Linked DNA regions of Nothobranchius furzeri. The protein of the gene in region 2 purifies or fractionates together with the protein of the main gene of each other region. This does not show direct contact. Links are inferred from orthologs where the notes say so. Each region holds a gene or a part of one and is shown on either strand. Other genes may lie near its edges.

Region 1 (2,330 bases), on a different chromosome or scaffold from region 2:
TTTACTCTTTAAAAGAGGAATTCTTTCAAATAAAAGTAGCTTCAATAAGAATCACTCATAGCAGCCATCGTGGTAGGTTTGATTTACTTGTAATCCAACAATGTGATTAAGAGAACCAAGTGAAAATTGTAAAACTTAGATGTACTGTTTCATTATCAGAACCATGTTTTCACTATTATTTAACCTTAAGCCTGATTTATACTCCTCTGCCTGCGTCAGTACGGAGATGCCATTATGCGTTGGCGCAAGGGGTGTCCCAACGGGCTCGCAGAGGGTGGCCCTATCCCAGTACTCGCAGGTTCACACTTACACCCTTCAATTGCGATCCCAGCCAGGGGTACGACTGCATAGGCTGTCAGAGTGCGGAAGTAGATTTTGCGCCCTTGATTAGCACTTCACCCAAGTCTGCATACATGTGGACTTGGGTGAAGTGTATTACCCACAACGCATTGCTGCGGAACAACATAGCTCAAGTGCCTTTTCTGAAAATATGTGTTTTCAAATGAAAGTAGTTCATATGAAATTTTATTGCCCTGTGACTGAATGAGTGCTAAGTTATGCAGCAAACGTTTTATCCGTGGACGGAAATGATGAGAAACTTGGGTTTAGAGGTGCCAATTGCATGAAGACGTGGATGAGAAATAGGGACAAATTAGTTCCCGTTAAAAAGTCTCTGAAATACATTAAAACAATATATTGTGGCATGATACCGCCAAAAATTGCTACACTTGCTGTTGTCCTGGCGGGATATTGCTTTGCAACATTCCTCAGGTGACAGAGAAGTCTGATGAGAAAACATATCGATCAATGCATGTACACAACTCCACACGAGCTAACGAGGAGTTTAAATCAGGCTTCAGTTGGGTTTCATATACTTGAGAAAGTTGTAGGCAAGAGGGATCTGGGCTTCAAAACACAGATCCTCTTCAACAAATATCTTATGTTTTTCAGAAAATCACGCTGTAAATGAGGCACACTTGGAACTGGTGAGGGCCAACATTGGGAGCAAATGGAAAATCTGTGCACGACGTCTGGGACTGTCTAATGTAGAAATAGACACCATAGATCATGACTACCACCGTGATGGCCTTGCAGAGTATGTCCACCAGATGCTGGAATCATGGAAAATGAAGACGGGATCTATTGGCTGTACGGTTGGGAAGCTTTGTCGCGCTCTAGACGGGATCATCGAGGTAGATGTCATCTTGAAAATGCTGGAATTGTGCAGTTGCTCTTCTTCCTTTGAAGCTCAGTAATGGGCACATTTTCAGAATTCACTTCAAACATCTGAAGCTCAGTTCAACTGACTTAAAAAAAACTCATGTATTTTTTTTTATTAATCAGATCTAATTTCTTGGGTACTGTCGATAATAAGGGCCTCCCTGTAACAGTAAAAAGTATTGATTTATTTCTTATTGTGATTTTCAACAAGCTGAAACTGCATTTTTATTTGATTTATTGACAGTTTTTCCTACAGCCTACACTGATGAGCGATCAGACACCATCGATTTGTCATGAAATTTCAAATTTTGCACTTATAATAGTCACTGTTAAGGATCATGATATGTTTTAGGTCGAATAATTATTTTCTTACTAAAGTTTTTATATAATCAAGGTGTTTGTCCCTTCAATTTTCTTCCTGAAAAGAGTCATAATGGAAAAGTCGCTCCATGTATTATGAAGGTTAGTTCACAAATATAAACCTACAAGTGGACCCATTAAGATTTCTGCAGAAAAATGGGGCAAAAACATAAAAAATGTATTTTATATCAGGAATTTTAATATATGTGTGAACCCTGTGGAGACAATGCTTTTTGGTCCATCTTGTATTTCAGGCTTGTTGCACATTTTATATATTCATGAATGTTATCTGTAAATTAAATTGTTTATGTACTTTTTTTACCTGCCCAGGTTTAAATGTTCAGTTTAGGACTGTAAAAATTGCATGTTTATTTGATAAGTTGCTGTTACTGTACCATATTAAGCATTTTGAATCACTGTTTTATCCCTAAGTGCTTTAAAGCTGTTTTATGCTATGCTTCTGTCCTCTGAAGCTTTTAAATTCACACTTGGTTTAGGGTACTTGCTCGTATTGTTCTGTAGTATATTTGCTTATGGAATTCCAAGCAAGTTCTCCCTCTATGATTTTACATACCACTGGGATTGTGACATTTACAATAAATTGTTTACATATTTTTAAAGTTGTTTGTGTTTGTTCTTCGTATCCATTTTTGCACAAAGCTTGAGTTTAATATGATGCAAACTGGCTGCATCTAAAATAGAGAAATGTTTTAAAATGTGGTTAGACAGAATATGTTTAGAATAAAAAG
Region 2 (2,941 bases):
AACCACAATTTTCAAAACACACATCTCAGTCTACAGTTACAAAACTCAAGTTTACATGTATAAAACATTTGGTCTCAACTCTAATTTGGTACAAGTTACTGTCACGATGCAGTGGAGATGGTGGTGGACCCATGTGTTGTGGAGCTGGACCAGGAAGCAGGAATGGCAGGTCAGGCAAAAAAAAAATGGATTTAATGAATAATGGCAGGTAGGATGATCCAAACGGGAGCAATGTAACACTGCAATGATCTGACAAAGGACAAGTCTAAAACAGGTATAAATACACAAGCATAATCAGGAACACATGGGTAGGTTAACAAGGGGCAGGTGAGTCCAATAAACAACTAATTAAGGGGAAACGAGACCAAGAGTCAGAGGGTTGGAGCAGATCCTTACAGTTACATGTAATATTGTCCCAATCCTAGCTCCATAATTATCTTGGGTATGCGGGCTGCAGGTTTGTAGCTGCAGCTTGTCCCAACACATCCTGCAGATGTTTGAACTGGACAGTTAGAAGGCTAATTTAGGAACTTTTTTGTGCAATCTTTTAAAAATCCTGGTAATTTCCTGGAGTGTCAGGAGAAGTGTTTTATCTAAGGTGTGTGTGTGTTTGGTCTAAATTCGTTGAAATAGAAGATACACAACAAATCTGTTAATCTCCAGGACGCACTTTCTGTTAAAAGGTTTTCGCATCTCATTTGAGCTTTAAAGTTGTATCTGATCTTTGTTTAAAGAAAATTTTTCATTCTGAAACATTTTTTTCTTTCAAAAATCCTTATTCAAAATTACAATATAATTGCAGTTTAAAACCTTTTTTAAAATCCTCTGTAACTGCAAAAAGCTTAAAGAGCAAGTCACTCCAAATCACCATTTTTTTTGCTGATAAACTATATAAATGAGTGTCCGATTGTGCTGTAGACAAATGTAGTCAATAATTCGGCACTTTAGTGCATCTTAGTTAAAATTTAATTATTCTGCCTAAAACTGTCAGAGATGCACTGTCGTCAGGCAAAAACTCAGCACTGCATTTGAATTTAAATCTGCCATCGCTATTGGCTAAGAGGTACACTATGATGTTAGATGGTATATTATGATGTCACAATGTTGTGAGTGTGTATTTGTTAGAGGCTCCGCCTTCTCGGTCTGCTAGGCAACAGCATTTGTTGCATTTTTCAAACAGGAAGTGGGAGTTGAGTAAGAATATGGCAGGGGGTGACTTGCTCTTTAAGTGTTTAATCAATGTAATTAGGTCTGTGACAATGGAGACAGCATCCTTTCTGCCTGAAGTCACTACAGTTGCTGCAGAAAAGTAGATACAATATTCATTTTCTGCATGACTGAATGGTGTCATCAGTGCACAAAGTGAAAACTTCAGTGGGACTGAAGTGAAATCCCTTGTCTGTTGCTTGAGGAAAAGAAAACACAGTGGAAGAAAAACAGGAGAGAATTTTGATTGTTTTAATGTGCACTGTCAGCCATCTCTGAGCCATCTGGGACACTGCAGGAGATTACACAGACTGTTGCTCATCTGGCCCTCCCCCCTTCTCCCAAGCTAAAATAAACCTCTCATCATGACACATTCTGCAGGTGGAGTAAAATATATAGTACAAAACCACATATTTATGCATTAGTATAAGGTTTATAGATAATATCAAGATGTATAATATTGAGTATAGATTTTTGATAGATGTTTGGCATTTCTTCCGAAATAACTGAGTCACCTGCATAGAATGATGCATGTTCATACCCACAAAAGGTTAATGTGGTGCATTTTACATTAGTCCCTTTTCCAGTCAGTCAGCTGCAAATAAAGTAACATTTCGTGTGTGTTTCTGCTCACCAGGGACAACCTGGGTGCCTTAGTGCTGGACATGCTGTTTCTCTGGGCTCGGGGACAGAGGAATGCAGGACCTGGGGCAGCATCAAGGCTCGTGGCTGCCATGATAGAAAGCGGACGGAGAGACCTGGCAGACGAGATTGAGGACATTGTGAATTTAGGAAGGAAAAAGTACTCCGATTCTCTGAAGAGAGTTGGCCTGGAAGCAGAGGGCTCCTCTCTTGAGGAGGTGCAGCAGTAGATGAGCCTCCACTGGGGCACAGGAGGCTGTTTGTTTACATCGACCCCCATCATTTCTCCTCTAGTGGGACACAGATGTGACAGCCAGTCACCCACCAGTCCTACTTTTATCTAAACAAGGGAAAGCAACATGCAGTAACTGCACAATGAACTATGACCTCGTCCTTTTTGGCACTTTTTGTATTATGTAAAGCAACTTAATCTAAGTTAATTCTGCCTGGAGAAAGGTTCTGCTAGTAAAAACATCCAATAGTGAAATTGACTGAAATGTAGTTTATTTAAATAAAGCATTTTTGGGGAAATTTTTGAAAAAAAAAATTGAAAAATTATATAATAAATGATAAATCAGAGCTGATTAAGCATTCACTCATCAAACCTAGTCTGATATATTTTTTTAGGTGATTTTAAACGTATAGGTTTTAATTTTCTTACAGGAAGGAACCTCAGACTTGATGTATAAATCCAGTTAATCGACTGATTCAGAGATTTGTGCTGTTTTATTTGTGCATGTTTACCTTTAATCCAATATTACACCTCTTGCAGTTTTTTTCTTCGCTTTTTACGTCCAAGGTCATTGTGTTTCGACGTGACGTCACGGTGACGCGTGTTTGGCCGTACTTCCACTACCCACCGCTAGGGGGCGTATTTGAAATCCATCCTCCGCTACTCCCGTTTGCATCCAGACCTCTCCCCCTCCCTTCCTCCCTTTCCTGCCTACCTCCCGGCTTGCATTCACTCCCACCTTCTCAGCGGGTTATCTACTGTCGCTCTTTCAGCCAAAGGTACAGAGTGTAACATCAGATTTCACCTCTCATTCACCCACAAGGAAACAGCGGAAGCGACTCTGGTATGTACATAACGGGA
Region 3 (3,662 bases), on a different chromosome or scaffold from region 2:
TTCCCTCCAACCTGACAGCCAAACAAAACAGCAGAAGTTTCGATTTTGCCGGCTTTGCCGCTGGCCGCTGCCGCGCATCACCTCCCGTGTGTCAGGTAATAAAAGCGACAGCGACAAATTTCGCGGTCGTTTGTCGCCTCCCGTGTGTCGAGCCCGTAAGTTGTGTATCTTGAACTTGAAGATGGTTTTATGGGCGTATATATTTTAGTACGGTTGGTGAATTGATGCAGCAAAATGTTGTTTGTTCTGCCTGGTTTACCTGCTTTGCTGCTCAAAGCAAAAACACCTTTAGCTAAGTCTGAGTGTGTTTCAGCAACACTTCTCTTTATTTGTGTGCAGGAAATGAGGGAGTGCATGGAGGCGTTCTGCAGGAAGCCAGAGCACCGGACTTTGAGCAGCTGTGTGGTGTGTCTGCTCTCCCACGGAGTGGAAGGAGCCGTGTATGGTACTGACGGGCAGCTTCTTCAGGTGAGTGTTGGTTTTTTCATCAATAAGTGTCTTTTAAGAGGGAATAAATGTGTTTTATGACATTATTACTTGGTCTCTTTCAGCTGGACTGGGTGTTTGAGGCCTTTGACAACGCACGCTGTCCGCTGCTTCAAAACAAACCAAAGATGTTTTTCATCCAGGCCTGCAGAGGAGGTAAAGATACCGATAATGTAAATGTGTGTTTGTAAACAGTTCAGGTCAGAGCAGGAATGAAGTTTAATCGTTAATCTTCTGCAGGGTGTCCGCGGGTCCTTAAAAAGTCTTAAATTAGCTTTTACAAATTTAAGGCCTTAAAAATCCTTAAAAATGACAAATAATCCTTAAATAGAGTTTCCAAAGGTCTTAAAACACCAAAGACCCAATAAACAAGATTCTGTTATTTCTGTAAAATTTTCATGAATTTCTAGTTGGTGTTCAGCATTTTTTGTGTATGATGTTAACATAAGTGGAACCGTGCACATTCAGTTGGTTGTGAAAGGGGGCTATTTTTAGATGAGCACATTAGCTGGTTGAGCTAGCGGGAGCTTGCGCCATGGGGAAGTGCAAGTTTAATGGTGACTGGATGGCTAATCCCACGTTCGCGACGTGGTTTGCACCGGTTCCAGGCAATAGCAGGAAATTATAGCTTGAATTTAATTTAAAAAATCTGTTAAATTTGGTCAAAGTGGCCGTAAAAAAGGTCTTAAAAAGTCTTAAATTTGGCTCCCTTAAACCTGCAGATACCCTGATTTCTTAACAGTTTATGGAGGAGCTTTAATAATCCCTATTTAGCATTTTATCAGCCCTCCATCAGCTGTTCAGCTCAAAAATGTCACATCTCTTTGTCCTGTTCTTCCTGATGATGCTCTGGACCAGAGGGTACACTGATCACTTCCTGTCGGACTAACAGGCCTAAAAGGCTGTTTTTATCTTGCAGGTTTTTACGTTGCATGTCTAATCTAATTCATTAAACTTCATCATAATGAACAGTACAGTGTAATTCTATAACTGTGAGCACATTTCAGGTAGATGTTTCAGACAGATCCAAAGGTTCGATTCTAATGAGACGAACTTCAGCTTTATGTCACATTTAAACGTGAGCGCTACGTTGGTCCCTTTTGTCCCTCAGAAGAGCTGGACTGTGGCGTAGAGCAGATAGACGGGCCGGGGAGGACCCTCTCACCAAGCTGCGAGCAGCGGGATGCTGGGAGGGAGGAAGCGGGGGATGCAGACTCCACTCAGATAGGGGACATGAGGAGACCCAGGATTAAGTTGCCCCAGAGGTCAGACATGATCTGTGGCTTCGCATCCCTCAAAGGTCAGAGAATTTGTAAGTTTTGAGTTTTTGTGTAATGAGAAATGAAAAGATATTGGTGTAATACAGGAAATCTGAAATGTACCTGTCCTGTAGTTTTACTTAATCAAGCAAAAGCTTTTTCTATTTTAAAAAATACAAAGTTTGATGCATTTAGAAAAAGCAGATGATTTAAGCTTCCACCTCCCTCCAAACAAAGCCAAGAAAAGCTGCCCCCCCCCGGTGGATTTGGCGTTGCTGCAGTGTTTTAGTAACGTGTTTAAAGCGATAGCAAAATCGCTCCTTTTGGAACACCTTTGATAGTATTTTATTAATTATTTCAAAGGAAATGTCCTTCTTAGTCACGTTTTCCTGTTTCCTGTATTAGTTTTGCAGGATTTGTTCAAAATGAAATGAAAGAAAAGGTGCTGGAAATTCCTGATGGCATTTTTTTCTGTTTACTACTCCACACTTGTGCATTTGGTCTTACACGTTTGGTCGTGTTTCCACTGCAGAAGTTACGGAAAACTTCTGGGAAGTCGAGAAGGTGACAGGATAAGTACACTGGCTCGTCCTCTCAGATGTTGTTTCTAAGTACAAAACGGTCCGTTTCAGGACTTTGCAAAGACATGAGCGTATGGCGACCGCTTCAGTTGTGAGTGACGTCACTGATCAGCGCCAACAGGCATCCACGGACATTAATAACATTACAAGTTTCATTCTGTCAAAGTCCGCCTTACTTTAATCTATCTGGGGGGGTGGGGGGGTGGAAGTGTGATGTAAAAAGTGGCGTTCTTTGACCAGAAGACGTGCTGGTTTTTACAGTGCTCTGTGAGATCACAAACGGTATAAATTAGAGCATTTAATGTTTACATCTGCTGATGTCATTTCCTACCTAAATACATCCAGTCAGCATGAGCTATACACAAGTCCCACCCAGCGACTCTACCAGACCTCTCTGAGTACATACTAGGGGTTGTCGACTAGTCGACCTCACTGCTCTGTAGCGACTTTTTATGTCTTTCATCGACTAGTCGCTGTCACGTGATAATGACCGACAAGATGCAGTCCTCGGAAAAGACAGCAGGTGACGAGCCCCTGCGCGTTAGGACGCGACGCGCTGTGCCAGCGCGTCGGTATCTGACGCCTGCGATAAAACGGACATTTAACCAAACTGTGACATTTACTCTCTTGCAATTTAACATTCCCCTCACCCCATCCTAACCTTAACCAGCTTGCGCATGCAGAGCTCTGATCGTTGATGCGCTCCAGACATCTGCGTCCTGAGCACGGCCACAGTAACATCAAATTAGGTGTCACCACCTCAAAAACAAATTAAACACGCGATCGTTCATGTCGGCTCATTTCCTTTTATGTTTTCTGTCTTTTATTTGTGCCTGATGCGTTTTGCTGCTGCGGAGTGGAGCGCATCACCTGTTTTGTCCTCCGGTGACGCACCTCACAGGTGCGGTCGGCGCGCACTCCGCTGTTCTTGCGGTCGGTAGATCTTTTAGAACTGCAGTTCAAAGGTAACTCATAAGGTGAATATATATGAACCCAGGTAGCAGTTTCTCTTTAGGATTGAGAGGAGATGCAGGAAGATAATAAACAGGCAGGACAGAAAAATAGTCAAATAAAAACAAGTTAGTTTTTGCACCTGCTGGTTGCAACAAACAGACACCATTGAAGGTAATCAGAAGTGAGGAACAGAAAATGAAATAATTATTTTAATGTTTAGAGCAGCAGGAACGCCGAGAGGCTGCAGGCGCATCAGTGAGTTTGCGGGAGAAGGCTGAAGCAAGATGCAGAAACTACCGTTGTTAAAAGAGATGTGTTTAACTTAGAAAATGTGGGCGCAATTTTAATTGTCAAAAACTCCAGCGAACCAACCCGCCTCAGG

The links.
Region 1: the proteins of pidd1 (region 2) and ripk1l purify together in Homo sapiens (affinity purification with western blotting; 3 studies listed by BioGRID and IntAct, with this or other methods). This does not show direct contact. The link is inferred for Nothobranchius furzeri from reciprocal best matches to the Homo sapiens genes PIDD1 and RIPK1.
Region 3: the proteins of pidd1 (region 2) and casp2 purify together in Homo sapiens (affinity purification with western blotting; 5 studies listed by BioGRID and IntAct, with this or other methods). This does not show direct contact. The link is inferred for Nothobranchius furzeri from reciprocal best matches to the Homo sapiens genes PIDD1 and CASP2.

The regions. Positions count from the first base shown.
Region 1 is NC_091751.1:51,510,960-51,513,289, forward strand, and holds the end of ripk1l (receptor-interacting serine/threonine-protein kinase 1), read left to right. Parts: intron 1-951; coding exon 952-1,256; 3' UTR 1,257-1,708; downstream 1,709-2,330. UniProt on the Homo sapiens protein: Serine-threonine kinase which is a key regulator of TNF-mediated apoptosis, necroptosis and inflammatory pathways.
Region 2 is NC_091744.1:65,118,848-65,121,788, forward strand, and holds the end of pidd1 (p53-induced death domain-containing protein 1), read left to right. Parts: intron 1-1,843; coding exon 1,844-2,078; 3' UTR 2,079-2,335; downstream 2,336-2,941. UniProt on the Homo sapiens protein: Component of the DNA damage/stress response pathway that functions downstream of p53/TP53 and can either promote cell survival or apoptosis.
Region 3 is NC_091745.1:73,503,721-73,507,382, forward strand, and holds part of casp2 (caspase-2), read left to right. Parts: intron 1-339; coding exon 340-468; intron 469-551; coding exon 552-642; intron 643-1,597; coding exon 1,598-1,798; intron 1,799-3,662. UniProt on the Homo sapiens protein: Is a regulator of the cascade of caspases responsible for apoptosis execution. Might function by either activating some proteins required for cell death or inactivating proteins necessary for cell survival.